Lonchura striata: one gene and its partners. The protein of the gene in region 1 purifies or fractionates together with the protein of each later gene. This does not show direct contact. Links are inferred from orthologs where the notes say so. Each region holds a gene or a part of one and is shown in the gene's direction. Other genes may lie near its edges. The genes, in order: PRPF19, SNRPA, BCAS2 and RPA2.

Region 1 (7,393 bases):
TCCTGGTCCCTGGGGTGGTCACGATCCCCAGTGTGATCCTGGTTCCTGGGGTGATCCTGGACCCCAGGGTGGTCTCGGACTTCAGGGTGATCCCAGACGCCGGGATGGTCCCAGTCCTTGGGATCATTCAGAGTCCCGGCATGATCCTGCTTCCCAGCCATCCAGTCGGGCCCGTGCAGATGGAAGAGGACACGTGCCACTGGCTCAGCAGGGGACACAGAGCTCTCCAGGGACACGGCGCGGATGGCCCAAGCTGCTGAGCCGGGGGGGCTCTCCATGGACACCTCCTGTAAGGACACCGGGATGGTGGTGGGGGCCGGGACACCCTGGGGTGGCCCAGGGAACACAGGAGTCCTGGTTACCTGGCGGATGCTGAACGGGGCATAGGTGGCCTGGACCAGGGCCTGGGATCCAGCACGAAGCAGCAGGAATGTCTCGGAGCGGGTGTGCAGGGAAGAGTTGGGTGCCACGTCCTGATCCACCCTCTGCAGCCGGTAGGACTCGGGCACTCCAAGGACCTCCAGCTCCGCCGGCAGGAACACGGGATCCGGGGGCTCCCCGTCACCCCTCACTGCAGGGACAAGGACGTGTCACATCCCGCAGGGACACAGTGGGAATGGGAATGCACAAGAGTGGCAGGTGGGGGTCTTTGTGCCCACCTTTGCAGCAGCACACAGGGTCACCCCTTGCCTGGGCCACCTCATTCTGAGGTCACCCCTGCCATGGTTATCCCAGGGTTATCCCATCCCTGCATCAGGACTGGGGGGGCCACTCGGTTCCCCCAGTCCTGGCTGTTCCCTGTGGGAATGCACTCCCCACTGGGAAGAGCGTTGGCACCGTGTCCTGCAGGGTGGGATCCAGGTTCATGGTGTCCTCATGGTGCCCAGATCAAAGGGATCCCTCATTACAGGGAGCAGATCCCACCTGGATGCCCATGCAGGGCTTCCTCACGGCTGGGATTTGATCCCACCTAGGGGATCAGGTGTGCGGGGAGAAGCCAGGCAGATCCCGGGATGCGGGGGGGAGTCCCTCGGGCGGCGGGTTCCCGTGGGGACTGGGAGGAGAATCCCCCCTCGAGATCCCAGCGGATCCCACGTTGCCTGGGTGACCCCCTCGGGATCCCAGGCGGGGGAGGGGGCACGGATCCCCGCAGAATGGGGGACGTGGATCCCGGGGAACGCGGAGAAGGAGGGGGTGAGGTTGCCCCGGCTCCCGGGATCCTGGCGGAACGGAGGGACCTCGAACGTGGGGAAAGGAGAGAATCGACCCGGGCTGCGGAACCACGCGGGAGCGAATCCCGGCAGGACGGCGGGAGGGGTGCGGAGCGGGTCGGGGTCGGTGCCCGGTGCCGTTCCCGATGCCAGCTGCCGTTCCCGATGCCGTTCTCGGTGCCGTTCCCACTTACCCGGGGCGCAGAGCAGGGCGGCGGCCAGCAGCGCCAGCCGGGGCGCCGAGGCCATGGCCGGAGGGCTCGGTCCCTCCGCCGGTGCCGGCGGTACCGGTGCCGCCGGTGCCTCCTGTCGCTCCGCCGGTGCCTCCCGTCCCTCCGCCCCCGCGCCGAGACAATGGGGCCGGGGCGGGACCGGCACCGGCGCCGCCTTGTCCCGCCGGGTCCTAAAGCCCGGCCGTGCCCGGGGCTCTGGCTCCTGCTCCACAGCCCGAACCACATCCCATCCTACGCCCTATTCCCATCCCTGCTCCCCCTCCTGCTCCCCATTCCCATCCCTGCTCCCCATTCTGACCCTCATCCCACTCCCTATCCCCATCTCTGCTCCTCTTCCTCATCCCCATGCCAATCCCTGCTCCTCATCCCATTCCCAGCCCCACCCAGCACCGGACACCCCAAGCCACAGGGAGACCCATGGAGCAGAGCAGGAGGGTTGGGAATTCTTCCCTCAGCTGCCATCCATCTTCCCCTCTTCCACCAGGGATACCGGGGACATGGGAAGGATAAGGACATCCATGGCAAGGGGCACAGAGCCAGCGGGAAGCACAGCAGGAGCAGCTGGAGGGCAGTGGGATCCTGGCATGGACAAACCACCCTCCTCTTCCTCCTCCTCCTCTTGCTCTTCCTCCTCCTCCCTTCCCACCCCAAATGGACTGGGGGGCCAGCTCTGAGGCCTGACCCCCTTCCCATGGGAAAGCAGCGGGGCCAGGCCGGATAAATCCCTCTTTATTCCAAACCACATTATCAAAACCGTTTAAAAAGCAGCTTGAAAACCCAAAACCTGACAGTGGGGGGACCCCAAAACAAGCAGAACCCCCGGGATGGGGAATGGGATCCCCTCTGCACCCCAAGCCGGCTGGGACAACATCCCTGGCGAGCAGGGAATGTGGGAGCTCCTCTCCCACATTTGGGGTGCGTGGCTGGCTGGCTTTTGGGGTGAAGGCACTTGTGGCACATGTGGCAAGGCACAGCCCCTGATTTTTGGGCCCCTCCCAGATGGATGGGGCGCTCCCAGGACCCTGGGAGAACCGGAAAGCAGAGGAGGGGGTGCGGGGGGCTCAGTGGAGCGGGGGGACACACGCTTGGGATGCTTAGGATGACGGAGCCAAGCTCTGAGCAAGCTTTAGGGGGCCTCAATCCTCCCGGTTCCGGGGCCCCCCGAACTTCTGGCGCCGCCGCAGCTCCTCCACCTTCCACTCCAGGCTCTTGACGGCCGCATCCAGCCGGGTGCTGGGATCCGGGGCTGCCACCAGGCTGCCCAGGAAGGTGTAGAGCACCCACAGGCCCACCAGCATTCCCGCCTGCACCGTGGGGCTCTCCTGGGAAGCGGCCACATGCAGGAAGGCGCCGAGGAAAAAGAAAAGCTTCAGCCCCCGGAGCAGTGGGAGCAGCAGCCCTCGAAGCCGGGCTAGCATCCAGGATCCCACCAGAGCGACCATTGCCCACAGCAGCACCCTCTGGACTTCTCCGGGAGATAGCGCTGCCGCTCGGACCAGCCGGTGGCCTGGGAATGGGAGCTGGGAGTCAGCTATGGCGGTGGCACCAGGAATGGGGGCCAGAGCCATCCCACGGGGTGAGTCCCACTCACCATTGATGCTGGAAGTGGCCAGGAGATCCCCCAGGATCCCACAGAGTGTGGTCAGGGCTGCTGAGATCCCAGAGGAAAGGATCCAGAGGGCGGTGGAGAGGCTCTGTGGGGAAAGATGGTGGGATAAGGAAGCAGGAAAAGAAAATGTAGACCCCCCCCATGTCCCTGCACGAGGAACTCCAGGGAAGGGTTGGGAATCAGGATCCCACCTCCGCCACCATCTGCAGGGGCTGGCGTCCCACCCAGCTCTCCAGGGTGTCCCAAGTGGATCTTCCCAGCCGGAGCAGCAGGTCATCGGAGGTGGTGACGTGTCCCCGGAATCCCTCCTGGCCATCCTTGGCTCCATCCCCCACTGATCCCATGAGGAATGGGATCCACAGCAGCAGGGCCAGCAGGGCCCGGTGCCCCACGGCACTCCCCATCCTGGAACCCGGGATCTGTGGGGAAAGAGAGATGTGGGGGTGCTGGGAGGGGAAAACCCTGCTGGTTTTGGAGTCCACTTGCTGGTTTTGGGGTTCCCCAGGCAGGAGGGGAGGCTGGAGGCCCCAGAGCCCAGTTCCATGCCCCCCCCCAGCACAGGCCTGGCTGTCCCGGCTATTTTTGGGATTGACAAGTCAGCGGGACACAGCCAAGGGCGCCGGGCCTGGCTGGGAAGGGGGGGCAGTCCTTCCCAAAGGAGGGAGCGGGGTGCTCCGGGATGGGACACCGCCACCATTGCCACTCCTGAGACCCCCCCGTGCTCCCCACTTCTCCCCAATCCCCCCGGGATCCCCCCAGTCCCAGTGTGCCCAGCCCCGCCCAGTTCCCCCATTCCCCTGGAACCCCCGATCGCCCCTGTGCCCGCCCCCCCTCAGGGCCCTCCACCCTTCGCGATCCCCAAAATCCCCCCAATCCTCCCTGGATCTCCCCAGCGCCCACTGGCTCCCCAAATCCCTCTGTGCGCACCCCACCCACATCTCCGCGGTCTCTGGGATCCCTCTGATCCCCCCAGGATCCCCCCAGGCCCCTCTGTACCCACCTCCCACTGTCCCCCCCCACCTCTCAGGATTCCCCCGGGATCCCCCCAGGAACCCCCACCGCGGCTCCCTCATCCCGCCTATCCCCTCCTGGAGCCCCCCCCCGCCCATTTCCCCTCCATTTCCCCCCCACTTTCCCCGAATTTCCCCCGATTTTCCCCGAATTCCAGCCCCCACCCCGGGGTCCCCCCCGACCCCCCCTCACCGGGGCTTCCCTCGGCTCGGCCGCGGGGCACGCCGGGAGCTGTAGTCCCCGGGGCCGCCGCGGGGCGTGCCGGGAACGCCGTCACCATGGCAACAGCCGCAGGCGGGCGGCGGCGCGCGGTGCACGCCGGGAAGCGCCGTTCCCGCCGGCGGGGAAGGGGGGAGCGCGGGGGATGCCTGGAGCGCTTCCGGTTCCGGCGGCGGCGCCCGCGTGAGCGCTCGGGAGCGGCGCGGGGGCCGCGCGCGCCAACCGGAACCGGAACCGGGACCCCGGACCGGAAAGGAGAACCGGAAACAGCCTCGGAAGGGCAGCGGGGCCGTAACCGGAGCGCCGCGACCGCCCGGCCTCCGCCATGGCGCTCATCTGCTCCAGTGAGTGCGGCGGGGCGAGAGTTACCGAATGGGGGATCCCAGCCGGGGTCACCGGGGGATCACCGGGCTGGGAGTTCCCAAGCCCCCGTTCCCGTCCCATCCCGCCGTTCCCTTTCGCCCTCAGTTTCCAACGAGGTCCCGGAGCACCCGTGTGTGTCGCCGGTGTCCAACCACGTGTACGAGCGGCGGCTGATCGAGAAGTACATCGCGGAGAACGGCACCGACCCCGTCAACAACCAGCCGCTGTCCGAGGAACAGCTCATCGACATCAAAGGTGCCGGGATTGGGAACGGGAGTGGGAAAAGCTCTCCCGGGAAGAGCGGCTCTCCCGGGGGCGGGAATGGCGGCGCCCGAGGCGCTTTGGGGTTTGCTGAGCTGGGGCTGAGATGCCAAACTCGGCTGTGGAGGCTGGGAAGGAGAGGGTAAAGGAGGGATGGTGGAACGGGAAAGGTGAGGGATGGGAACGCGGTGATCCGTAGGGATATCGGGGACGCGGGTGACGTGTCCATCTTTCTTCCAGTCGCCCACCCGATCCGGCCCAAGCCCCCCTCGGCCACCAGCATCCCGGCCATCCTGAAAGCCCTGCAGGACGAGTGGGTGAGTGCCGGGGGGGCTGCCGGGGCCGGGGTCCCGCCGCTCCCTGGCTGACTCGGGTGCTCCCCGGCAGGACGCCGTGATGCTGCACAGCTTCACGCTGCGCCAGCAGCTGCAGACCACGCGCCAGGAGCTGTCCCACGCCCTGTACCAGCACGATGCTGCCTGCAGGGTCATCGCCCGCCTCACCAAGGAGGTCACTGCCGCCAGAGAAGGTGACACAGACGCGTGGCGTTCCTGGGAAGGGGTGCTGGGAAGTGCTGTATCCCGGTTTTCCTTTAAAGCTGTTGTGTTTTTGCAGCTCTGGCCACACTGAAGCCTCAGGCCGGGCTCATCGTGCCCCAGGCGGTGCCGTCAGCGCAGCCCAACGTGGCCGTGAGTTCCTGCTCCCCATCCTGGTCCTTTTCCCTTTCATTCCCAACCCTTTTCCCACTCACTGCTCCCGCATTCCCTCTCTGCACGTCTCTTCCCTCTGTGCCACACAGGGCGCTGGCGAGGCCATGGATCTGGGAGAGCTGGCGGGAATGACGCCGGAGATCATCCAGAAGGTAGGGACAGCCTTCCGCGTGTTGCCCTCTCCACCTTCCCATCGCAGAATTCCCGGTCTGTGCCCACCCTCCTCTTGTTTTCCAGCTCCAAGACAAGGCCACGGTGCTGACCACGGAGCGTAAGAAGGTGAGTGGACTTACCCAAGGATTTGGAGGGAGCTGGGATGTGCCGTGCTCCAGCCAAGGCTGATGTTTATCCCTGTATTTTCCAGAGGGGCAAGACGGTCCCGGAGGAGCTGGTGAAGCCGGAGGAGCTCAGCAAGTACCGGCAGGTGGCCTCACACGTGGTGAGTGCCGGGATGGGAAAGGACTGGGAAACTCCTACGTGGAGCTGGGAATCCCTTTTTGATTCCTCGTGGGATGTTTTGCTGCTCGTGGCATTAATTTGGAGTTCTCCTCTCTCACATAGGGGCTGCACAGTGCCAGCATCCCAGGAATTCTTGCCTTGGATCTGTGTCCTTCCGACACCAACAAGATCCTCACTGGTAAGGGAGCTTTCCTGGGGGTTTCCCACTTGAGAGTGGGTCTCCTTCTCTGTGTTTTTGGGAGTTTGAAGGGGCACAAGGGACATAAGGCAGGTGGATTTGGAGTTGCTTGGCCCTGCACTCCCATCCCAGCGCTTCCCGCTCGGTTTTCCAGGTGGAGCCGACAAAAACGTCATCGTGTTCGACAAGAGCTCGGAGCAGATCCTGGCCACGCTCAAGGGCCACACCAAGAAAGTCACCAGCGTCGTCTTCCACCCATCCCAGGTGCGTCTGGCTCTTTCCTCACTTCCAGGATTCCTCAGATCTGGGTATCAGGACCCTCCTCTGGTGGAATCTCCTGCTGGGAGCTCTCGCAGAGGTGAATTCTTCCCGTGTGAACCTTCTGGTGTTCTCCTTGTGTAGGACTTGGTGTTCTCGGCTTCTCCCGACGCCACGATCCGGATCTGGTCCGTTCCCAACGCCTCCTGTGTCCAGGTGGTCCGTGCCCACGAGGGCTCCGTGACCGGGCTCAGCCTCCACGCCACGGGTGATTACCTGCTCAGCTCCTCGGATGACCAGGTGAATCCCTCCCCATCCCACACATCCCACCTTTGCTTCCCGCCCCTCCTGTATCCAACGCTCTTCCTCTCTCCCAGTACTGGGCTTTCTCGGATATCCAGACAGGCCGTGTCCTCACCAAGGTGACAGATGAGAGCTCTGGATGTGGTAAGCTTTGGAATTGATTATCCCCATTCCAGGCATCCCTTGGCTCCTGGAGTTCATGAGAGCTCCTTTGGGGGTGGGCATGGTAGCCTTCCCAACCTTCCTGAGTCTTCCCAACCCTTCCAATCTCATCAACCTTCTTGAGTGTTACTAGCTCACAAAATATTCCCAACTCCCTGTATCTTCCCAACCCTCCTGAGCCTTCCAAATCTTCCCAACACTATTGGGAGTCTTCCCAGCTCTCTGAGTCTTCCTAAGCATCTGATTCTCCTGCTGTCTCCGCAGCTCTCACCTGTGCCCAGTTCCACCCGGACGGGCTCATTTTTGGGACGGGAACGATGGATTCCCAAATCAAGATCTGGGATCTGAAGGTAAGGGCTGAATGGGAATGTGCGGGAACAGGGGTTTGGGGTTGTCTGAGCTTGGCTTGGGGATCA
Region 2 (7,859 bases), on another chromosome or scaffold:
AATCACTCCAGGATCTCCATGTTTGCTCTGGAGAGTTTTGGCTATGCCCCCGTGCGGGACTGGGAGGGATTCCTGAGTGGAGGGATTCCTGTGACTGCCTCAATTCTGCACTGTTCTGGTGCAGCCATCCCATTTCATATGATCCCAGTCTATAATCCCAGTCCACATGATCCCAGACTGTACAATCCCAGTTCATACAATCCCAGTCTACAAGGTCCCAGACCACATAATCCCAGTCTGTATGGTCCTGATCCATATGGTCCCAGTCTGTGCACTCCCAGTCTGTAGGATCCCAATCCGTAGGATCCCAGTCTGCATGGGCCCGCATGGCACACACTCCAAGGGTCTGGAATTCCAGTTCCCAGCCAGGAAAAGATGTTCCTGCCCTTGAAGGCAAAGATTTTAAGGGGCCAAAAGCCAAGTGCAGCAAGATCCTACAGTGACATTTCGCAGAAAGCCTTCCTAACTTCCCCCATAGTTGTTGCAGCTCCTACACTGGGAATTAAATCAGGGCAGGGTTTTTGGTGGCAGCTGCCCTGGCTCAAGGGAGACACGGAGAGATGTGGGAATCCAGGGCTTCCCTCCGGCTGCTCTGGAAGGCCTGGGACCCTGGCAGGGGGTCAGGAACCCCCTGTACAGAGCCCCAAGAGACACTGTCTCTGATCTCTGTCCATGGAAAAGAGTTTTCAATCTTAAAGGATGAATTACAAGCTCTGAGTGTTTGATATAAGTAATAATTAAGTGTGGCATGAGTGCAAAAGTAAAATTTTAGGATTCTAAATTAGGGGTTCAAAGGGGACAAGATGGAGGAAATTGGGTGTGCCTTGTCCTTTTTCTCCTTCTCCATGTCCTCCATGTTTCACTGTGGTGTTGGCATTTTTCTGTTGGTTTAGGCTGGGGTCACACTGTCCAATGTAGGTGACAGATTTTGGCATGTTATTGTAAATCCAGCCCAGGGAGTTTCTGGTATTTAATGTTTGTAACATCCCACTGAGGGCAGAGCCCCACACGCTGCCCTGCAGGACAGAGCTGGGCAGGGCAGCAGAACATGTTAGAGATAAACAGAATAAACAACCTTGAAACCAGCACAGACCAATTATGGCTTCTTCTTTGGCAGCAGGGCTGAGAGACAGAGACTTTCTACTATCTCAGAATCATCAATAACTCAGATTCCAACAGAGAGAGAAACAGAGCAGGCAAAGAGAGGTGGGAGAGAAAGGAGGACACAAACATAATCAGCTGGGAAGGTGGCACTCTGCAAACAGAACTGCAACAGACTGAAAATGAATGGGAAAGAAATCACTAACTCTGAAAGTTTTATTTACTATCAAATACATCCCACCCACTCAGCCCCACACAATCCAGATCCACTGCTCCAAATTTGGATCCCACTTCTCCCAGTCTCCTTCCAACCCCATCTCACTCTGGCAGTTGTGGAATCGAGTTTGGAGTGGGACTGAGTTTTTTGAGGTGGGAACAAGCCATTTTGAGGGGGGATTGAGCCCTTATGGATTAGAATTCAGTTGTTTTCAGTGGGATTGAGTTGTTTTGAGGTGAAGACTGATCTCTCTTGGTTTCTGCAGTGCAAAGAGATGAAGAACACTGCCCAAAACCCTCCCAGAACCCCAAATCCTCCAGAATATGTCTCTAAATCCTAAATTCCCTCTCAAACAACTGTGAAATGGTGGGACTTCAGACATCATTGATCAATTTCTTTCTTTTCAGGCCTGTTTTGGCTGATGGAGTTGAGTCAGAAGAAAATGAAGGTCAAAACAAAAGAACAACCAGCTAGGTGCCTTCCCAATATGGATCACAAGGGAATGTGGGTCACCAGATCTCTTCCCAACAAGGGTCCTTCAATGGGGGATGGAGTTGGAGCAGCACACAAAGCTCTTCTCTCAGTCAGGGCACTCACAGAGCCTCCCTCACCGATGGCTCCGTTGGTGCTGGGTCAAAGTTGAGTTCTATGAGAAGCTCTTCTCACATTGTGGACTCTGATAGGGCTTCTCCCCAGTATGGGCACACTGGTGCGTGGTAAGGGTGGAGTTGTGCTTGAATCCCTTCCCACAGTCGGGGAAGCAGAAGGGCCTCTCCTCTGTGTGAATCCACTGGTGGTTAATGAGGGTGAAATTGTACATGGATCCCTTCCCACAGTCTGGACAGCAAAAGAGCCTCTCCTCTGTGTGAAACCGATGGTGCAGGAGGAGATGTGATCTGATCTGAAACCCCTTCCCACACTCTGAACACTTGTATGGCCTCAAAACCTAAGGAGTTACGGCTCACAAAACCTAAAGAGTTACGGCTTCCTTATCAGAAAAGACATTCTTCCACCTCCGCTCCATCCCTATGGAACCACCAGGATTAAGGGGAAGAAGTTGACAAAAACCAGAAAAATTCTTAATTTGCAAGGAATTTATGTATCATGTATGAGATATATGAATATGCAACAGGCTATTGCTTTTAAGGTTATTCCTTTGTTCGCAAGGCATGCTTTTCGTGACCTAGTGTCCGAGAGCATGCAGATGTCCGCAATTCTTTGCTTTTTATTGTCTCATAGTGTCCTAATCCTATTTTTATTACACTAATTACTCTAGTCCAAATTTTTATTACTCCAATCTTATTACTATTTTTTATAAGATTCAAAAAAACAAGTGATTGGTGTTTTTCAACTGCAAGTACCTGGTTCTGCCTAAAATGACCCAAATGTGCCTAAATCCACCCTAAAATCCACCTAGTTTTTACTAAAATCATCCAAACATGCCTGAAACCAATACAAGAGGACCTAAAGTCACCCTAAAATGCTTGGTTCGATCTAAAATTAACCAAAGAAGCCAGAAATCTACCCAAATGGGCCCAAAATCACCAAAACAAGGGACGTAAAACCAACCAAACAGGATTAAGATTCACCCATATGGGCCTAAAATCAGCCAAAGGGATCTAAAATCCCCCATAAAACTCACCAGATTCAGCCTAAAATCAGCCAAAGGGGCCTAAAATCCAAGCTAAAAGGCTTGGAATCACTGCAAGGGATCTGAAACCCACCCTAAATCTGCCCAGATTGGCCTAAAATCTCCCAAATGGGCCAAGACTGAGGATGACACTGGTATCAGCTCCGAGATCCCTCTGGGACTGGCACCAGGATTGGAACTGGGCACGCTCTGGGATCGGCTCCGGGATTGCTCAGGGACCTCTGCATTTGGCCGTGCCCCTGGATGGGACTGGGCTGAGACTGGAAGGGATCAGGGCTTTGGGGACTTTGGGCTTTTCTGGGCTTTGGGGAAATTTGGTGGGAGTTTAGGGGGAATCATTGCATTTTTTGACGAAAATGATAGGGTTTTGGGGGAGTTGCAGAATTTTGGGGGATTTTGTAGATTTTGGGGGGTTTTATTGGTGCTTTGGGACGGTTGTTTTTCTGGAGGTGTTTGAGGGTTTCTTGAAATTTTTTGGCTTTTTGAAAAATTTTGGCAATTTTGTTCAATTCCCTGGAATTTCTGGTAGTTTTATTTGGAGTTTTAGGGGTTTTGGAGTAATTTGGTTGGAATCTGGGGGGCATTTAGTGGGATTCTTTGAGGGCTTGGGATTTTGGGGAGGTTTTTTTTGGGGTTTTTGGGTGTCCTGTACCAGAATTTCTTTGGGTCATGGGGGGATTTTGTGGGACTTTTTGTGGTTTTGGAGACATTTTTGGGCGGATTTGTGTGGTTTAATTATTGAGGGGTTTTTGGGACTTCAATAGATTTTTGTGGGCTTTTTTTGAAATTCTAAGGTATTCTAATGGGATTTTGTGAGATTTAATTGGGATTTTGTGGGTTTTATTGGGACTTTTGGGGGTTTTAAGGAGATTTTGGTGCTTGTCAGCCCTTTCCCACACCCAGGGACAACCCCAAAGCCCCCCAAAATTCCACTAAAAAACCCCCAAAATTCCCTAAAAATCCCAATAAAACCCTCCAAAATTCCAAAGAATCCCAGTGAAACCCACCAAAATTTAAAAAAACTCAAAAAATTTCAGTAAACCCCCCCAAAAACCCGCCAAAACTCCAATAAAATCCCCCAAAATCCAAAACCCCCCAAAATCTTGTAACACCCCAAAAGCCAATAACTCTCTTCAAAAACCTAATAATTCCCCCTAAACTCTCAACAAAATCCCTAAAAGCCAAAAAAAAGCCTCCCCAAAATCCCTCTCAAACTTCTCCCCAAAATTCCCCCAGACTCACTGGGGGCCGTCCTGGATGAGGGGGCACCGGCTGGTGGAACAGGAGCCACTTCAGGGGGATGCTTCAGGAACCACTTTTTGGGGAGACAGCATGATGGGAGACCCCCAAAAACGGGGCGGGGGGAACCCCTGTTGTGCCCCCTCCCCCTGAAACCCCCAGACCCCGGTTCAGCCTGGGCCTGGGACTCCCCGGGACCCCAAATCTTCCCCAGGAACCCCAACCCCCCCCGAGCCCCCCTCAAGGTTGGCCCAGGATCACCCTGGACCCCCAAAACCCCGCCAGGAGCTCCAGATCCCCCCAGCACCCCCTTGAGAACTCCCAGATCCCAATCGGGCCCAGCCCAGGATGTCCCCTGAGACTCCCCAGACGCTTCCCAAGACCCCTCCCCCACGGTCCCCTCTTAGGACCCTCATCCCCCATTCCCCCACCTGTCCCGGCCCCTCCGCAGCTCCCGCAGCTCCGGCCTCTCCCAGCGCCTCCCGCAGGACCCGCCCGAGCCCGGGGCGCCCGGGGCCACCGGGCTCATGCCCGGCCCTGGGGTCAGGGGACGCCATTTCCGTCTCGCCTCTGATTGGCTGCAGCGGCGCGGGGGAGGCGGGCGTAACTGAGGGAACCCGCACGGTGATTGGTTAGTTCGGGGCAGGTCACGCCGCTATTGGCTGGAGGGGGGCCCGCGCACGCGGCGGCGGTAGATCGTGCGGGGAGAGCGGCTGAGGAGGGAGGCCAGTTGGGGGCCTGTGAGGAATGGAGGGGTCGGAGGTGGCTTTAGAGGGAAATGGGAAGGGGCTGAGGCGGGTCTGAGGGGAAGTGAGGGTTCTGAGGTACGTGCGGGACGCATTTGGGGGATATTGGGCGGCTTTGAGGGTTTTTTGCGCGGTCTGAGGGGATAATTAGGGGGATCTCAGGTTGGTCCGGCGGGAAACTGGAGGAAAAATGGGGGTGTCTGAGCTGTGTCGGGAATGGGTTTGGGAGGAATTGCGGTGGTTTGAGGGACTTTTGTGGGGTGTGAGGTGGATCTAGGGCGAACGGGAAGGGAATTGGGGAGATTTGAGGGGGGTTTGAGCGGAACTGACGGCGTTTGAGGTGGGTATGAGAGGAATTGAGTCCGAGGCAGTTTCGGAGAGCATTGAGCGGGTTTGAGGGGTTTTTGCGGAGTCTGAGAGGGATTTGAGTGGAAATGGGGGCTTCTGAAGTGGATATGAGCGGAATTGAGTGGTCCGACGTGGGTCTGGGGCGGATTTGGGGGGAATTGGAGTGGTTTGAGTAGTTTTTGCGGGGTCTGAAGTGGATTTGGGGGGAAATGAGGGCGAAGGGGGCTCTGAGGTGGGTCGGGGGGGAAATGGGGGGATCTGAAGTTGGTTGGGGAGGTCTGAGATGTGTCTGAGGAGAAATGGGGGATTTTGAGAGGAAATAGGGGGATCTGAGGTCACTTTGGGGGGAATGAGGGAGTCTGAGGGGGCTTGGGGAGGAGCTTGAGAGGGTCTGGAGGGTTCTGAGATGGTTTTAGGGGTGTCTGAGGGGAATTGGGGGATATGGGGGGTTCTGAGGTGGGTCTAGGGGCAATTTGGCGGGGGTCTTAGGTGGCTCTGAGGAGGTTTTGTGGAGTCCCAGGTGGGTCTGGGTCAATTTGGGAGGGGGTCTGAGGGTGATTAGGTGGAGGTATAGGTGGGTCTGGGGTGGATTTGGGTGTTTGGGGTACCAAAAGGGAGGTCCCAGGGGGTGAAGGGGTCGCAGCCCCCAGACGCCCCCTGAAGCCCCCCTGTCCCCACAGAGAGGTCCCAGCCATGGCGGTGCAGGATCCCCGGCCCAACCACACCATCTACATCAACAACCTGAACGAGAAGATCAAGAAGGACGGTGGGGGGGGGCTGGGGGGTCTGAGAGTGTCCCTGGGTGTCCCCAGGGGCTCAGGCTGTCCTCTGGGTGTCCCTGCTGTCACCATGCTGTCCCCATTGTCACTATACTCTCTCTCTGTCCCCAGAGCTGAAGAAGTCCCTCTACGCCATTTTTTCCCAGTTTGGGCAGATTTTGGACATTTTGGTGTCGCGCAGTCTCCGCATGAGGGGCCAGGCCTTCGTCATCTTCAAGGAGATGAGCAGCGCCACCAATGCCCTGCGCTCCATGCAGGGCTTCCCCTTCTACGACAAACCTATGGTGAGACAGAGATTGGGGAAAAATTCTGAAATTTTGGGAAAAGACTGGAAAAACCACCATAATCTGGCCTCAAATATCCCCAAAATCCAATTTGTAATCTCTCCAAATTCACCCTGACCACCCCAAAGCTTCCCCGTCTATGACACATCCATGGTGAAACAGAAATCCTAGGGGAAAACACAGGGAATATGGGAAAAAATCCTGGAATTCTGGAAAAAAACTGAATTCCTTGGAAAAAAAACCCCAAATCCAACTGGAAATTTACAGAAAATCCCCTGGGAACACTCTCAAATCAAACTAAGAATCAAAGCTTCCTGTCTATAACAAGCCTACAGTGGGGCAGAAACCTGGGGAAAAAAATCTGACATTTTGAGGAAAAACTGGAATTCTGGAAAAAAACTCTGAAATTCTGGGGAAAAAAGGCAAAAATCTGGCCTCAAATATCCCCAGAATCCAACCTGTAATTGTCCAAATTCACCCTGAACACCCCAAAGCTTCCTCTTCTATGAGAAGCCCATGGTGAGACCCAAATTCAAGGGAAAATCCTGACATTTTGTGGAAAATCCTGAATTCTTGGGGGAAAAAAACACCAAAATTCAGCTTCAGATATCCCCAAAATCCAACCAGGAACACCCCTGGAACTTCTTGTTTCATGACAAGTTTATGATGAGAGAGAAATTCTGGTGAAAAATACTCAAATTATGGGAAAAATCCTCAAACTTTGTGGAAAAAACCTGAATTTCTGTGGAAAAAAAAAAAAAAAAAAATCCAGCCTCAGATATCCCCAAAATCCCACAAAAAACAGACAAACAAAACCAACCAACCAAACAAACAAACCAAAAAAACCCAAAACCAAACCAAATCCAACCAGAAATGCACCAAAATCAAACCACGAGCTGCCCCAAAGAAGAAAATCCCAGGAAAAACCCCAGAATTCCAGGAAAAGCCCTAAAATCCAGCCAGGAATTCCCAAAGCTTTCCCTTCTATGACGAACCTCTGGTGAAATCTCAAATTCAACCTGGAAGCCCTAAAAATCCATTGGAAACCCCCAAATCCCTCTTGGAGCTACTCCAAAATCTCTCTTGAATTCCCTCAAATCCCTCAGAAACTCCCAAATCCCCCCTAAATTTCTTTGAATTCCCTCAAAATCTCTTAGAAATTCCTAGATCCTTGCTAGGACTTCCTGAAATGCCTCCAAATTCCTCTTGGAGCTCCCCCAAACACCATCAGAAAATCCCCAAAGCCTTTCTGGAACCTTTCCCAAATCCCTCAGAACCCTTGAAAATTCCTTGGAAAGCCCCAAAATCCCTCTTGGAACTCCCCAGAATCCCCTCTAAATTCTCCCCCTATCCCTCTGAAATATGCAAAATTCTTCCTAGGACTTCGCAAAGTTCCTTGAAAATCACAAAATCCCTCTTTGAACTTCCCCAAATCCCTTGGAAAATGCCAAAGTCCCTCTTGGAACTCCTCCATATCCCTTAGAACTCTCTTCA
Region 3 (7,549 bases), on another chromosome or scaffold:
CCCTGTGCTGACCCAGAGATGGGGCAACTGAGAGGTGTTTTAAAAACTTTTATTCCATTCTCAGTCTCATGTGAAGGGTGAGATAATGCAGTGTTATAATTCACACCCTCACAATCAGAAATTAACTATTTCCTAATTACAATACATTATAAATGTTTCTTGGCCTATCAGCTTTTGGAGAGTGTCCCTGTTGAGTCAGGAACGGGTAATAAGTGACACAGACTCTAGGTCAGAAGGCTAATAACCACTTTATTAAAAACCCATTCCTTTTTATACTCTGTTTCTCTACAGGTGGACCTGATTGGTCCTTTAATTAAAACACATCACCATTGGCTAATTAAGAACCCACCCTTTTGGTAAACATCTTATGAGGAAAACAACTCATTACAAAACACCACCTATGGATTGTTTTAATTCTTTCTCTCCAGCTCCCTCAGACCAATTCATGGGAAAGCTTATCTAGTGTTGGAACCCTGGATGCTGAGAATTTTAAATTTTCTGTGCTGAAAGGCACAGACCTGCAAGAGAGCACTGCATTGACCTGAGGCTGTGGGGAAGGCTTCCAAAATTAATTAGCAGCACTGGGATTATGGGTGTGGAGTTTGTTGGAAGTGTGGAATGTCACAGGGTGGAAAACTTAGAGTTTGGGGTTTTAGAATATAGAAATAAATATGAATCAAGATGGAGGTTTTAGAGCTGAGGCAGGTTGTTTTTCACCTTCTTCTTCCTTCTTCTCCATGGGTTTGGGTGGTGGTTTGTAATTGGACAGAGTAGTCCACAGTGCAGGCTTCAAGGGATCAGTTATTGGGTTAAAAAAGAAAATAATTTAGCTGTCATTTCTTAATTGGATAGTTTAGCCTCAAAAGACCTTGTAACGAGAGATAGTTGGCCATTTTGTGCCTGGTTAATGAAAGACTGCAGAACTCACTGCTGTGAGACTGGAACATTGATAGGAAATTATAAACACCTGAGTCTGAACATGAAATACCATCTGAAGTGCCTTCAATCCTGACCCAAATAGAGGTAGAAAAAGGAAGCAGAAAACCTACAATCTAGCTTTCTCTCTCTCTGACCAGATTGTCACCTTGTCTTGGTTTGGAAAGACAGGTGTTTGCTCAGAAAGGCAGGAGCACCCCCTGAAATGAAAAAAAAAAAAAACAAAAACATGTAAACCCCCTCTCTCTGAATTGTTATCAATTTGAAATTAAAGGGGCTCTCAGGCAAAGATATGGGAGCAGGAATAACAGTTCTTTTATTAAGGAAGAAAATAAAAAGACAAAATAAACAATGCAGTGAACCAAAACAACACTGGCAGAGTCAGAACACAACCTGACACCCTGTTGGTCAGGGTGTTGGCTGCAGTCCAATTGGGAATTATGGCTGCAGTCCTCCTGGAGTGGCAGGTGTGGTTCTGTTGGAGCAGTGTTCCTGTATGAAAGGGTGTAGTTCCACAGAAGGGTGTAGTTCCTGTAGAAAAAGATGTAGTTCCTGAAGAAAAGGGTGCAGTTCCTGTAGAAAAAGGTTTAGTTTTCCTCTGAAGAGGCAGCTGTTTCTCTGGGTAATCCAGTGCAGGAAAAGCCATAATGGTGTTCCAGAAACTCAAGATTATATCCAGGTAGAAATGCTCCCTCCGGGTGGAGCATCTCATAATGGGATGCTGTAACTTTTATCAGTCGTGGTGTGACATTCAGTAGCTCGTTATCAGCAGATGACTCCCCTGAGAAAGGACTGGTTGTGGAAGAGATAAAGAAAACTGCCCAATTAACAGAAGACAACTGCCTCACCTCTAACAGACAACAACTGAATGCATCTTGCCTCGCAATCTATGACACACATCCTCAGGAGAGGAATGACCAAAGTGACAAATGTCCTCCCCACAGGTGCCACGACCCTGAACTCCCTGGTCTCGGAGGCTTTTGTGCAGTTCTTCGTGGAGATCGTGGGGCACTACTCCCTGCACATGAACGTGACGGAGCAGGGCCAGCGCGTGTTCCAGCGCGAGCCCTTCCGCAAGTCGCACGGCTCGCGCACCGTGCGCCACTTCCTGCACTGCTTCATGGAGACGCAGATGTTCGCCGGCTTCATCCAGGACCGCGAGCTCAGCAAGAGCCTGGCCAAAGGTGATGCCCTGGGAAAGAGCTGGGCAGTGACGCTGTCGAGGCAGGATGGGAATGAATAGACTGATGGAGAAGGCTGTGAGAGTAAAACTCTGGTTTATTCAGAATGCACCGCTCTTTATACAGACAATTCCATTGGTCCCGAAGTGAGAACAACCACACCATTGGTGCAGAGTGCTTGACGAACAGTGATAGAACTTAACTATAAACAATGTGAACAATAAGGAGATAAACCTCTTATTTACATTATTTTCCAGCAGATTCCCAGCCTTCTGCCTGGTTAGAAACTTTCTGTTTCTCTCTTTGAATCTGAGACCCACAAGACAGAGCTAAAGAATAAAGTAGGGATTTATTAAAAGGATCTCCTCAATGGATCCACCTTGGCAGCACAAGAGCCCAGCCAGGGCTGCACCCAAGATGAACCAAAATGGTCATAAAAAATGGACAACTGGTCACGAGGTCTCTCAATTTTATAAGTTCTGCTCAATTTGCATATTGGAGCTAATTGTCCAATTACAGCTCCAGCCCATGAAGTCCCATCCTTCTTGTTTTTCTCTCTTCATCCCACGTTGTTTGTGCTTTTGGGCCTGAGATTTGGATCATTTGTCCTTGGTCCCCAGATAGTGAATTGTTTTGTCTCCCTGCTCTGTGCAGAGAGCTCACCATCCCCTAATATGGACCCCAGACCCACACACTAAAGCAGCACAGAATCTGAAAAATATAAAAGCCAAAACCTGAGGCATCAGTGGCATTGCCCTCTTGTTTCTTGTTTTGGCATCACTTTCTTGTTTCAAGTCTGCTCCACAGACTCCTCTCGAAGTACAATGCCACCTGCCTCTGCTGCTGGAATTCTGTCACATGGAATAGCCCCATGCCCTTCTAAATTACTCAAAAGAATTCAGTTTATAAAGCAAAGAATTTCTGCATCTCTGTCCTTTCTCCTTGATCCTGCAGCTTACACACACTGTATGCAGGATTTCCTTTTGTGGCCTTGTTAATCATGATGCCACGTGCTAAATGGTGGAATAACTGATTTGGTGAGTGATTTTTAATTTTTTCTTCTCTTTAGGCCTTTTTGAGGTCCGTGCCTTGGAGTATTTGGAGAGTATTCCAGAGACAGAACGAACTGGAATGAACAAAATCCTTCGCAGCCTTGGTAAAGGAACACCCCTTGCTTTTGCTCATTGCTTATTTTTTAAATTAATTGTAGCTATTGAATAATTCACTTGTTACAAAAGAGAGAAAGGCTTCTCCTTCTGTATCTGGGTTCCCTTGTTTACATTTACTCCTTCAGGGGACACTGAACACTGTGTAAGATTTTTCTTTTCTTTTTAAAATATTGTATCTTTAGATGAAATTTGTGGAAGTTGCTGCTCTGCATGCTTGTTCCTTAACTTTGGTCCTGGCTGGGGACATGCCCAGGGGACAGAAGTTTTGTCTGCTGGCAGAGGTGGTCATGTGTGGCTTTCCACCTTAAGTTCCTCTGCCTGATGAGTCCTGGAGTGTCTCCATTTCACAGAATCCCACAATGATTTGGGTGGGACCAGTCCTGCCATGGCTGGAACACCTTGCACTGTCCCAGGGTGCTCCAAGCCCTGTCCAGCCTGGCCTTGGACACTTCCAGGGATCCACCAGCAGCCACGGCTGCTCTGGGCACCTGTGCCCGAGCCTCACCACCCTCGCCTAAAGCTCCTAATGCTGTTTTTTCTCTGCAGGCAGTAAAATGAAATTCCTCCAGAAAAAGTGACCGGGCGCTGCTGCGGGACAGCGGCGGGAGGGGGAACGCGGACCCCGCCGGGGCCGGACCGAGCTGTGCCCCGGGAGGGCCGGGCCGGGGGCTCCGGGTGTGCGGCGGGTACATGGATCGATAACGAGTTCCATGGACCGATAACCAGCTCATGGACCAATAACCAGTTCATGGACCGATAACCACTTCCATGGATTGATAGCTGCTCTCCTGGATTGATAACCAGTTCCATGGACCGATAACCAGTTCCTGGACCGATAGCAGCTCATGGATCAACAACCGGTTCCACGGATCAATAACCAGTTCCACGGACCGATAACCAGTTCCGTGGATCAATAACAGCTCATCGATCCAACCGTTCACGTGTCTCCGTTCCTTAAGGGGGCGTGGCCTGGCGGGGAGGGCGTGGCCAGGGCTGGAGTCGCTCCGGGAGCGGCGGGACCGGGCAGGGAGGGGCGGGGCCACGTCGGGATCGCTCCGGGAGGGGCGGGGCAAGGCCTGGAATCGCTCCGGGAGCGGCGGGGCCGGAGCTGGAGTCAAACCGGGAGCGGCGGGGCCGCGAAGGGGCGGGGCTTGGCCTCGGAGGGGCGGGGCTTGTTCTCGGGGGGCGGGGCTTGGCCTCGGGGGGCGGGGTTTGTTCTCGGGGGGCGGGGCTTGTGCCCGAGCAGCGCACCGCCCCGCCGGGCGTGACGTGTTTGCGCACGCGCAGTGCGCGCGGCCGCGGCCAAGATGTCGGGCCCGGGGCTGGTGGCCGGGGATGTCGTGGTGGATGCGCTGCCCTACTTCGATCAGGGCTATGAGGCGCCGGGCGTGCGGGAGGCGGTGCGTGCGGGGCCGCGGCGGCGGCGGGGAGGGGCCGGGGCGGCGGGCGGGCTGTCCGCCTGCCTGACGCCCCGTGTGCGATAGGCCGCGGCGCTGGTGGAGGAGGAGACGCGGCGGTACCGCCCGACCAAGAACTACCTGAGCTACCTGCCCGCGCACGACTACAGCGCCTTCGAGGTGAGCTGAGGCGGCCTGGCAGCTCCCAGAGCCCGGCCCGGTGCCCCCATACCCCGCCTGGCCCCACTCCGTGACCTGGCTGGGACAGACCCTGCCTGTCCCCGTCCTTGCCCCGTACCCCTCTCGTGTGCCCGTACCCCTCCTGTGTCTCTCCGCCCCTGCCCCGGCTGTCCCTCCGCCGTTATCCGTTTGTGTCCTGTCTCCATCGTGCCCGCTTGTCTCATGCACTGTTCCGCCCCTGTCCCTCACTGCTGCCTTCCCCGCAGACCGAGATCATGCGGAACGAGTTCGAGCGCCTGGCGGCCCGGCAGCCCCTGGAGCTGCTCAGTATGAAGAGGTGAGTGGGGCCGGCAGGGCAGTGCCTGTCCCGGGTGAGCCGTGCCCGGTGTCCCGGGTGAGCCGTGTTCAATACTTCGGATGAGCTGAGTCTAGTGTCCCAAGTGAGCCATGCCCGATGTTCTGGATGAGCTGTGCTTCATTTGAGCTGTGCCCGGTGTCTCGGGTGAACCGTGCTCAGTGCCCTGAGTGAGCCGTGCCCCAGTTGAGCTGTGCCCCAGTTGAGCCGTGTCCCATTTGATCCATGCCCGGTGCCCCAGGTGAGCTGTGCTCCATGTGAGCCATGCCCCATGTGAGCTGTGCCCTGGGTAATCCATGCCTGGTGCCCCAGGCGAGCCGTGTCCCAGGTGAGCCGTGCCCAGTGCCCCGGGTGAGCCATGCCTGGTGTCCCAGGTGAACTGTGCTCCATGTGAGCCGTGTCCTGGATAATCCGTGCCCGGTGCCCCAGGTGAGCCGTGTCCCAGGTGAGCTGTGCCCGGTGCCCCAGGTGAGCCGTGTCCCAGGTGAGCCGTGTCCCAGGTGAGCCATGCCCGGTGCCCCAGGTGAGCCATGGCCCAGGTAATCCATGCCCGGTGTCCCAGGTGAGCCGTGCCCGGTGCCCCGTTCCCTTTGCAGGTACGAGCTGCCCGCCCCCTCCTCTGGGCAGAAGAACGACATCACGGCGTGGCAGGAGTGTGTGAACAACTCCATGGCACAGCTGGAGCACCAGGCCGTGCGCATCGAGAACCTGGAGCTCATGTCCCAGCACGGCTGCAATGCCTGGAAGGTGTACAACGAGTAAGGCCTCAGCTGCTCTGCTGAGCACCAAGTTCTGTGTTGATTTCTGTTTGTTTATTGGGTGTAAATCCGGTGGGGATCTCTAAAATGTAGCCTGGAATAGATGAAATCCTGTGAGAGAGCTGTGAGTGAAAGAGGAGGCTGATCTCAAAGCTGTCTCTGTGGCCAAGAAACAGAATGTGTTTAATACATCCCACTCTTGAATGTTGTGGGTTATTGTTGATGCTGGTGGGTGTTAATTAAGGCTAGTGATAGCCTGTGAAGAAATAACTCACTAGTGGAAATGGAGATGAGTTACTACAGATCCTGGGCTTAGCCTGGAGCCATAATAAAGCTGCTGCAAAAGCTAAGAAGAGGTTGTAGAGTATGGCTGCAGGAAGTACTGGGGTTAATTCAGAGAGAGAATGTTAATGTCCACTTTTGAGAAGGGTTGGCTGAGCCTTAGATAGAAGAGTAGGTCAAAGGAATGCCAAACGTAGCTCAGGGAGAAGGCAGAGGGTTCCTGAGCTCAGGAGAAGGGAAGCAGGTAAAGGATCTGCTGGCTGGAACAAGGTGCTGCAGGGGCTTGTTGAATCCTGAACTCTGAGAAGTTAAATGTCAGATGAAATGGGGCTGAAATTTTAGCAGTTGTGTGTTTTTAATGCTTTGCTTGCATTCTGTCATCAGGCACCTGGTTCATATGATAGAACAAGCCCAGAAAGAGCTTCAGAAATTGAGGTGGGTCATTCTTATTTATATTTTTGTACTGAAATTGGAAGTGAACCTTTCTCTCCCCCCAAGCTGTACAAAGGAAGATGTGTATGCTGGCTGCTGCCATGGTCACAGGGAAAAAGACCCAGTAAAAACAATGATGAAGAAATGTGACCCTTCCCTCCCCAGTCCCATTCATCATGTCTGTTCTACTCAAAATTCTGTGTTTGATTTGTTTAAATCTCTGCTCTGGATTTGTGGAACCCTCCCTGAAATGTAGCAATGCTTTAATTTCACTACTGATAATTTAGTGTGCAATTGTCTCTGTAAGGACATCTTCCCTGATGTTGGGTTTGGCCTTTTACTTTTATTTATCTCAGGGCTCTTTGTGAGCCCTGTACTGAGATTTGTCCATCTGGATGTTGTCATTACAGTCCTGGCTACACAAATATTTTCTGGCAGTACTTCTAGGGATTGAGTGTACTTGGAAATTAGCAACAGGTACTGCAGATGCCAAAGAAATGAGGAAATAAAAATGCATCCTTTTCTCCCCAGGAAAAACATTCAAGACCTGAACTGGCAGAGGAAGAACATGCAGCTCACAGCTGGGGCTAAGCTGAGAGAGATGGAATCCACGTGAGTGTTGATATTTCTCGGTTAACCCTTCCACAGCTTTCTCCATTGCTTGAAATTTACTTGAAATTCTTCTTCCACTTGAAATTCAGTGATCCTTTGGTGCTGCTGTAGGATACTGTTGCTTTGCAGGAAGTGTTTTAAGGTATTTGTAGTTTGGTTCCATATTATATTTACTGAAATTGAGTGAATCAACAGGTAGGAAAAGAGTGTATTTATTAGCTGCTTCAAATTTCCTAAATTGTCTTAA
Region 4 (8,008 bases), on another chromosome or scaffold:
ACATGTAAACAGAGCAACTGTAGAGAGCTTCATCCACTACAAAGGAGGACATAACCACCCATCCTCCACCTCTTGGCAAACAGATGCTGTCCCTACAATTCATCCTCAATTTAGATCCACTCCAAATGCATCATTTTAGCAAGTAGAGGGACACAATTTTTCAGATGGTTTAAAGGTTTTGAAGGGGGTCTGACAAGTTTGTTATTACTCAAAGAGTAGTTCTGTGACCCATATTATCCGGGGAGCAAAGCAAGTGTCAAATTAAACTTACTAAGACATGAAGAACACCACAAAAACTGTCTGACCCTGCCTAGGGAAACTCATCCCAGCAGGATGCACTGGCTGCCAGGGCCATGCTTTGACTCACTGATACTCTGACTAAATCTTTGTGCCAGACACGAGGCTGAAATATCCTCTCCCACACAGCCACTCAGCTTCTGTGGACTGAGAAATCCTGAAAGGCCTCTTCTGACTACAGGGGGAATTAAAGTTGTTTCAGAGCTGCAGTGTGGTGCACACAGGATTCCCTACCAAGACCTGCAGGGTGTCCTGATCATAGCTGACCACCCGAATCGCAGGGTTGTTGGCTCCATTGCTCACTCCAGGTAATGTTGTTTTCCAGGGAGTCACTCCAGGGGCCAGGAACATGACATTGATTGGAGTACCTTCACAGAAATGCAAAGCCAACTGTGACTGGAGACCACGGCTTGTCCCACACCCTGTCCCCATCACAGTGAGCCCCTGGAGCAGATTGCACTGCCAACAGCACCTTTGTCACCAGCTCCCAGTACCACCACACACACAGAGATTAACACGTGGAACCATGCTGGGGACTGAGCACAGGGAATGGGCTCTCCAATGCTGGCAAAGCCTCTTGCAGTGAGGGTGGCCAGGGAACCACACTCGACAAAGATGTTCGCCCAGAGCACCCCACACACACACAGAGATTCAGCATTGCTCCCTCAGCAATGCCCAAACCCCTCAAGAGGGAGCAGGCAAGAAGCTGCCAAGCATTAAGGCAAAATAATATTTGAGGGTGAATAGGAAGGAGGGCAGGAGCTACAGACTGGGGGTAGAGATGAGAACCACTGTTGCCTCTTGTTGCCCAAAGCATGTCAGATGCTTTTGCTGGCTTCTTAGCCGCTTTTAGCCAACAGCCACTAAAAGCCCTGATGGACAGTGATTGTGAGAGCTGTCACACAGGTGCTCGGGTGACCAGAACAGGTACCTGTGGGGCTGTAGAACATGCGAAAGCTGTCGGTGTGATGGTGCCCAAAGAACTGGGCAGCAATCACATTGTGGTGCTTCTGCACAATGCCCAGGTACCGCTCGTTAAAGCCCCTCCTGAACCAGGGCTTGCCCCGTTTCTTCTCGAAGAAGCCAGGGGGGACATGTCCCACAATGTAGACCTACAGAAGCAAGAGCTGCCCTGAGCACAAAGCCCACACCACCCATGGAGCACCAGCCAGCTGCAGCTGCACCCAGAGGGAGCAGAGCAGGAAGAGCTTCCAGGCTGGGGAGAAGCTTTATTTTTTCAGTCTTTTTAATACCATTTCATCTGCTCTAGAGGCGTTGGTCAGTGTTTCTTCCAGCCACTGGAACTGCCCCCCAGGATCCTCCTCACCAGCTGTCTCATCATTCTGGTCATAGTACAGGTTGGTGTTGAGGACAACCATCCGTCCCCTCATCCCTGGGCCAGGCAGCTTCTCACTGTAGAAAGCTCCTTAAAAATGAAACCAACAGAGGAAGAGCTGTAGATCAGCTCACATGGGTGGCTGTGAGCCCAGATCCCATTGTTTCCACCTCTCTCTGTTCTTCTTAGCAACAGCCACAGCAGGGTCACTGCTTGGGACGGTGCCCTGACCACTCCAGGATGTGGATTTGGAGTGAGTCTTTCCTGTGTGTCTCCCCAAGTGAAGGGAGACCTGAATGGGTACAATGGACAGCACCAGGAGCTGGGCAGCTCTGGAGAGCCCCAGCACTGCCTGCACCAGCTGCCACCTTTAAAGATATTTTTCCTCCCTTTGCAGGTCACCACTGCATTCTTTCCAGTAACTTGATAATGGCAGAAGAGACTAAAGTATAAAATAATTTCTCTTCTTGCAAGCAGAGTTCCAAGACAGAAATCAGCATTAAATTGGAGCCTACCTCTGCAAATTTTCTATGAATACTGCTGCTCTGAGCATAGAAACAAGGAAAATCGTTCATGGTATTCTCCTACCCCTCCTCATATCCCCAGCATGCTCTAAACACAAGCCAGTGGTGCCAGACCTGCTCTGAAGAGAGGAAGAGAGGCATCACTCAGCCAGGACTGCCACAGCTCTGCTGTTTGTTTGTAGATCCTGTGCTCCTTCCCAGGAAACTGATTCTTGGGGTGGAAGTCATGATTGCCCATCGCTGCGTAGACCTTGGTACCTGGAGACAGAGCCAAGGAGGGGCAGGAGGTCAGTGGTGCAGAGCTCCTCCAAGCTCCCCGAGGCACTCCCAGCCTTGGGAACAGAGCTTTGCCAAGGCAGCCATCCTCTGCCCCGGGCTGACACTGCCCAGGGCACCACATGGCTCGGACCCGCCCCTGGGACAAGCCACCCAGAGCCAAGTGACTGAGCTGTCACCAGCAGTAATGCTCCTTGCCCCCTGCTGACACAGGTTATGTCTGAGAGTTTCCTGCAGCCTTTTTTGCCTTCATTACTAACAACAGAAACCCTTCCTTTCCCCTCTCCTGAGTAAGCTAACCTGAAACATGAGTGTGCATCAATGCTGTATGGCACAGCAGAATTGAGGCCACCAAACAAGTCCCACTGACCACAGCCCTTTCCCTGTCTCACTTCTGTCATTTCTCCATCCTGGTTAACCTTTCCCATGAGCTTCTATGCTCCTCTTCCCTTCTCATCTCCTCAAATCCTACCTGGAAATGTCTCTTTTATCAGAGAAGTCAGATTTGCTATTATGTGCAGAACCTTTTCTTCTCCGAGCTCCTCATTGGGGACATGGGGAGTGTCATCTCTAGAAAAAGAGAAGCAGCACAGTCACTGTCTGGGACTAACAGGGTCTGTGCTTACAGCAATGAGCAGGGCACAGAACTTGCCAACTCCTCTCTGTGCCTCCTAGAAGAGAAAGTTTAAGCTTTTAGGTGCAGAAGTCAGTGCTATATTGACTGGCCAAGACAATGAGGGAGTTTCAAGAAATTGCTCACAGGGAAAATGAGCTCCACTCTAAACTTGCCAGAGTCAAGGAGTGCTCAGACAACACTCTCAGGGATGCACAGGGTGGGATTGCTGGGGTGTCTGTGCAGGGCCAGAAGTTGGAATCCATGATTCCTGTGGGTCCCTTCCAGCTCAGGCTGTTCTGTGATTCCAGGATTCGCTTTACCTTAAAACTCCTGTGCAGAAGGGCGTGAAGGGGAGGCTCCCTTCTCCTAGGCAGCACTAAAGCTGACTGGAAACACTGCAAGGGTCAGCACTTTGCAATCTGAGGGCATTTGATCTGCAATAATGAGGCAGAGCTGTTTGCACAGCTGTGATCACCATGAAACAAGGAAATGCCTCTAGTAATGCAGCAATCTAGGGCTGCTCCATGTCTGTGTCTGTACAGCATTTGTAGATGATGCTGGACTGTCCACAAGCCCACTGGAGAGAAAGAACATTCAAAATCATGTCAGAGGGCTGGGGAAAATTGCTTGAGGGAAAAAGAATACTCAACATAAGGTCACAAGAACCAATAACTACATCTAAGTAAGAACAGGCATCTTCAGGGACAGAAAATGAAAACATGAGATAGGTGACAGCCCTGCAAACTGGAACTGGAGATTACAGCAAGTTGAGACTGCACTATCAGAAGAAGGCTATCTACACAGTCACTATGCAAAACAAAACTTTTACCATCTGCAAATGCTATTGGGGCCTCCCAGAGGACAGGGGACCCACCCCTGGAACCCATACTAGGAGAGAAACATCCTCCACTGGGGAGGTTCCTCTGACTCCTGAAGCAGAACTGTCCCTTCAGGTCTCCCAGCCGCCTCGCAACCAGAAGAAACGCTACAAGCTGGTTTACAGTACTCTCCTCCCGCAGCTGCTTCCCCTGGGCATTCCAGGTGCTACGACTCACTGTGGGATCGGACAGGATGCACAAAGGACGGACAGCGTTTTGTCACCTCACTGCCACGAGCGTCTCGCCAGCGTCGAGCGCCCTCGCTGGGGTTGTGCTTTCCTCCAAGCCCTTGTTTCGCATTACAAGGCACGCTCTCCCTTTCAAAGCGGGGACCGCGTAAAGAGCCCCGACACACCACGGGCTCCGTGCGGGCTCCGCCGCCCCTGTCCCGCCCAGCCCCGGGGTCCCTCAGGCGGGCCCGGCCCCTCTCACCCGGTCCAGACCACGAAGTCCGGCGCGGCCAGGCGGCGCCGCATGGCGCGGGCGGCCGAGCGGAGCAGCCTCCAGGGCGCATCGCACAGGTAGCTGCCCCACGGCCCGGCGGGCCCGGCCCGACCGCCGCCCGAGGGGCACGGCCGTCCCGCTGCCGCCGCCGCCTCGTACCCGGGGTCCCAGTGCAGGTCCGTGAGGTGCCAGAACCTCCCGGAGCCGCCGACCGCACCGGGCAGAGCCACGGCCAGTAGGTACGGCAAGGGCAGCAACAGGAGCTCGCGCGTGGGCTGCATGGCAGAGACCGCCGCGGGCACCGGGGTCGGCCGGCACCACAATCCCGCCCTCACCAAAATCCCGCCTTCACCGGGACCCGGCCGGCACCACAATCCCGCCCTCACCGGGACCCGGCCGGCAGTACAATCCCGCCCTCACAGGGCCCCGGCCGGCACCACAATCCCGCCCTCACAGGGCCCCGCCCCCTCATCCGTGCCAGGCCGGGCAGCGCCCGTTCTCAAAATGGCGGCGGCGGCGGCGGCTTCCCCGCGCTCTCCTCCTATTGGACAGAGCCGGAAGGCGGAGGGATGCGATTGGCTGCCGGCCGGCAGAGCGGCGCTCCCGGATTGGGGGGCAGGCGGCGGCGCGCGGGGCCCGGCGCGCGGGCGGGCGGCGGCGGCGGTCCGGAGCGCAGCCATGTGGAGCGGGCACGGTGCGGGGCCGGGCACGGTGCGGGGCCGGGCGGGGCGCGGGGCCGGGCGACCCTCCAGGGGACACCCCCTCCGAGGGCCCCGCTTCCCGTGATGGCGGCAGCGCTGGGAAAGGGGACCGTGTCCCCGCCGCCGCGTCACGTTCCCTCTTTCTCCCCCCGTAGGGAACTTCGATGGCGGCTACGGCAGCATGGGCGGCGCGGGGCTCCCGGGCGGCTACACGCAGTCCCCGGGCGGGTTCGGGTCGCCCGCCGGAGGCCAGGCGGAGAAGAAGCAGGTAGGCCGGGCGGGGCCGGCGGGACGGGGCCCGGGGCCGGGACCGGCTCTGACGGCCCCTCCGCCGCTCGCAGCGGAGCCGCTCGCAGAACATCGTGCCCTGCACCGTGTCGCAGCTGCTGGCGGCCGAGCAGGTCGACGAGACCTTCCGGATCTGCGACGTGGAGATCTCGCAGGTGGGTGCCGGGGCGGTGGCGGCCGCCAGCAGCCGTGGCCGGCCGAGTGACCGACCCTTCCCTCCCCCGCCGCAGGTCACTCGTGGCCGGCCCGAGTGACCGACCCTTCCTTCCCCCGCCGCAGGTCACCGTGGTGGGCATCGTCCGGCACGCGGAGAAGGCGCCCACCAACATCCTCTACAAAGTGGACGACATGACGGCAGCCCCGATGGACGTCCGGCAGTGGGTTGATACTGATGTAAGCTTTGGATTTGCTAGGAACAGGCTTCTTGAGCAGCTCTGGGGAGCAGTGGGTGGACAAAAGCTGTAGAATTATACAGTATCTCGGATCATTGATGAACACCAACTCCCTACTTCTCACAGAGCTTTTTGAACCCAAAAGGTGTGGCTTTTCTGGAAAGTATTTTAGGGATAACGTGTCCCTGAAATCAAAGGGAGGTCCTGCTGCAGCAGAGATCACTGGCGGTGTATATGACTGTGCCTGTTTAGTATAGCTGAGTTCACTTGAACAGTTTTGGGAGGGTAACCAGGCAGATGTTCAGTCTTACTGCAAGTTTAGCATGACATAGGAATGCACGTTGTTTGTGCTTGCTTGAGATGAGCCTTCCTTGCTAAGTTGCTTCTTGTGACTGTTGAGAAATGGAAACAGGAAACAGCAAACCTGTTTTTCCCTGTCTGTTAGGAGGCAGGAGGTGAGAATGTTGTGGTACCTCCAGGAACTTACGTTAAAGTGGCTGGTCACCTTCGGTCCTTCCAGGTAAGAGTGTATGTGTACCTGTGTGTGAATCTTGTAGCACTCCATGTGGCACAAATATTCAAATAACGGTGTATGTGCATTTAGGGAAGGTGCAGATAATTCCCAGCTGCTTAGAAAGAGGAGTCACTGTCTCCATTGTCTTTCAAAATCACATCTCTCCCCCACTGCTTTCTTGCTTACTCCCAGTAGGATGGGGGGAATCAGAAGGGTCAAAGTAAAAAAACCCATGAGTTCAGATAAAAGCAGTTTAATAAGTAAAACAAGGAATTCATTCCATGCTTCCCATGGGCAGGCAGGTGTGCATCTTCCTCCTTCTTTCACCAGTTTTTTAACTGAGCATGACACTGGCTGGTCTCTCCCGTGGGGCAGTGGAGGTACCAGCTGTTTCCCTCACAGCTCCTTGTCCCCTCCCAGCCTAATACTGGTAGAGTTGTGTGAGAAGCAGGAAAGCCCTTGGCTCTTTGCAAGGGTTGGTGAGTAATGACTAAAACATCCCTGTGTCACCAACAATGTTTCCAGCACAAGTCCAACACCAGCCCATGTTACTAGCCCAAACCAGCACAAGAGGTGTGTCAGAACATTTTGGATGACCTACATACAGAGAAGGTCTTTCCCCACTGCTGTCCCACCCTCCTGGAGGAAATGGCTGGGTTGGCTGTTAGGCATTGTCATGTTGCTGTGCTGTAAATTGTTTTCTTTGTTTTGTGTTTGTTTTTTTCCTCTGAAAGAATAAGAAGAGCTTGGTAGCATTTAAGATCATGCCTCTGGAAAATATGAATGAGTTCACCACACACATACTGGAAATTGTCAATGCACATATGATCCTCAGAAAAAATCTTATGGTACGTACAAAGACCCTGATTTTATTGTGGCCCTTCCTGGGTGACTGGTGATCTCCCAAAGAGGGACCTTTCACTGGGAAAATTCCTTCATTTTGGGGCTGGAAAGCTTAAAGCTGAGCAACGCTGAAGGTGTAACAGGAGTCCTGGCTTCCTTGGAGAGAGATTGCAATCCACTTCCATAAGAAGCTATTTTTACTTACTGGCTTAGAAATAACAGTGAGTCTTTAACACTGCAGGCTTGGGCAGCCTGGGTAACCACAGCACTTTTGTTCTCCTAATTCCAGTCAGCATCAAGAGGGCCACAGTCATTTTCCTCCACTGGGATAAGTGACATGGGGGGCTACGGAGGAGGTGGCAGCCTGCCAGTGAACGGGCTCACGGCGCACCAGAGCCAGGTGGGTGCCAGCAGCTCTTCTGGGAGCACAGCAGTGGCAGCAGAGGCTGCTCCAGTGTGATCTAGTGTGGTTCTTGCTCATCCAGGTGCTGAACTTGATCAAAAGCTGCCATGTCCCAGAGGGAATGAGTCTACAGGACTTGAAGTTCCAGCTCCACAGTATGAGTATGTCAACAATCAAGTAAGTGTGTAGAAATGAAGGATGCTATGGAAATCCAGGCAGTCCTTCCAGAGGCAGAGAACAGTGGACAAGTCCAGACACTCACCTGTGAGTCAGGGTGGGTAATTCAGGTGGTCCCAGCAGCACAGGAGCCAGAGCTGTTGAAAGATTCACTGCCCTGAATGAGCTGTTGCCAGTTGCTTTGCTCCTTGTTTTCAAAACAAGCCTTTTATCAGTTCAGTGGCAACGTACTGCAGTGCCTCAGTAGCATTTCTCCTGTTCAAAGACTACCTTGTTCTCTGCACACTGATAAAAATCTAGGAATAGTCTCTCCTATTCT

What was found.
Region 2: the proteins of PRPF19 (region 1) and SNRPA fractionate together in Homo sapiens (co-fractionation; 3 studies listed by BioGRID and IntAct, with this or other methods). This does not show direct contact. The link is inferred for Lonchura striata from reciprocal best matches to the Homo sapiens genes PRPF19 and SNRPA.
Region 3: the proteins of PRPF19 (region 1) and BCAS2 purify together in Homo sapiens (co-immunoprecipitation; 10 studies listed by BioGRID and IntAct, counting the BioPlex papers as one, with this or other methods). This does not show direct contact. The link is inferred for Lonchura striata from reciprocal best matches to the Homo sapiens genes PRPF19 and BCAS2.
Region 4: the proteins of PRPF19 (region 1) and RPA2 purify together in Homo sapiens (affinity purification with western blotting; 4 studies listed by BioGRID, with this or other methods). This does not show direct contact. The link is inferred for Lonchura striata from reciprocal best matches to the Homo sapiens genes PRPF19 and RPA2.

Annotation. Positions count from the first base shown.
Region 1 is NC_134608.1:53,754,052-53,761,444, forward strand, and holds the start of PRPF19 (pre-mRNA-processing factor 19), read left to right. Parts: upstream 1-4,387; 5' UTR 4,388-4,608; coding exon 4,609-4,627; intron 4,628-4,751; coding exon 4,752-4,901; intron 4,902-5,147; coding exon 5,148-5,224; intron 5,225-5,294; coding exon 5,295-5,436; intron 5,437-5,522; coding exon 5,523-5,596; intron 5,597-5,706; coding exon 5,707-5,769; intron 5,770-5,854; coding exon 5,855-5,896; intron 5,897-5,981; coding exon 5,982-6,056; intron 6,057-6,178; coding exon 6,179-6,254; intron 6,255-6,408; coding exon 6,409-6,518; intron 6,519-6,656; coding exon 6,657-6,812; intron 6,813-6,889; coding exon 6,890-6,959; intron 6,960-7,241; coding exon 7,242-7,327; intron 7,328-7,393. Other genes in the region: TMEM132A (transmembrane protein 132A), read right to left, coding at 1-287, 363-571, 1,406-1,460; voltage-gated monoatomic cation channel TMEM109, read right to left, coding at 2,581-2,951, 3,036-3,138, 3,245-3,474, 4,269-4,344. UniProt on the Homo sapiens protein: Ubiquitin-protein ligase which is a core component of several complexes mainly involved pre-mRNA splicing and DNA repair. Required for pre-mRNA splicing as component of the spliceosome.
Region 2 is NC_134637.1:4,272,451-4,280,309, reverse strand, and holds the start of SNRPA (U1 small nuclear ribonucleoprotein A), read left to right. Parts: upstream 1-4,858; 5' UTR 4,859-4,948; exon of another isoform or gene 4,949-5,032; intron 5,033-5,982; 5' UTR 5,983-5,995; coding exon 5,996-6,068; intron 6,069-6,192; coding exon 6,193-6,365; intron 6,366-7,859. UniProt on the Homo sapiens protein: Component of the spliceosomal U1 snRNP, which is essential for recognition of the pre-mRNA 5' splice-site and the subsequent assembly of the spliceosome. U1 snRNP is the first snRNP to interact with pre-mRNA.
Region 3 is NC_134632.1:1,994,774-2,002,322, forward strand, and holds the start of BCAS2 (pre-mRNA-splicing factor SPF27), read left to right. Parts: upstream 1-4,547; 5' UTR 4,548-4,593; coding exon 4,594-4,686; intron 4,687-4,770; coding exon 4,771-4,863; intron 4,864-5,129; coding exon 5,130-5,200; intron 5,201-5,814; coding exon 5,815-5,976; intron 5,977-6,642; coding exon 6,643-6,693; intron 6,694-7,221; coding exon 7,222-7,302; intron 7,303-7,549. UniProt on the Homo sapiens protein: Required for pre-mRNA splicing as component of the activated spliceosome. Component of the PRP19-CDC5L complex that forms an integral part of the spliceosome and is required for activating pre-mRNA splicing.
Region 4 is NC_134628.1:5,394,950-5,402,957, reverse strand, and holds the start of RPA2 (replication protein A 32 kDa subunit), read left to right. Parts: upstream 1-5,005; 5' UTR 5,006-5,049; coding exon 5,050-5,065; intron 5,066-5,227; coding exon 5,228-5,340; intron 5,341-5,413; coding exon 5,414-5,515; intron 5,516-5,639; coding exon 5,640-5,753; intron 5,754-6,197; coding exon 6,198-6,272; intron 6,273-7,000; coding exon 7,001-7,114; intron 7,115-7,398; coding exon 7,399-7,509; intron 7,510-7,594; coding exon 7,595-7,689; intron 7,690-8,008. Other genes in the region: SMPDL3B (acid sphingomyelinase-like phosphodiesterase 3b), read right to left, coding at 532-665, 1,229-1,409, 1,551-1,723, 2,272-2,415, 2,906-3,003, 4,360-4,652. UniProt on the Homo sapiens protein: As part of the heterotrimeric replication protein A complex (RPA/RP-A), binds and stabilizes single-stranded DNA intermediates that form during DNA replication or upon DNA stress.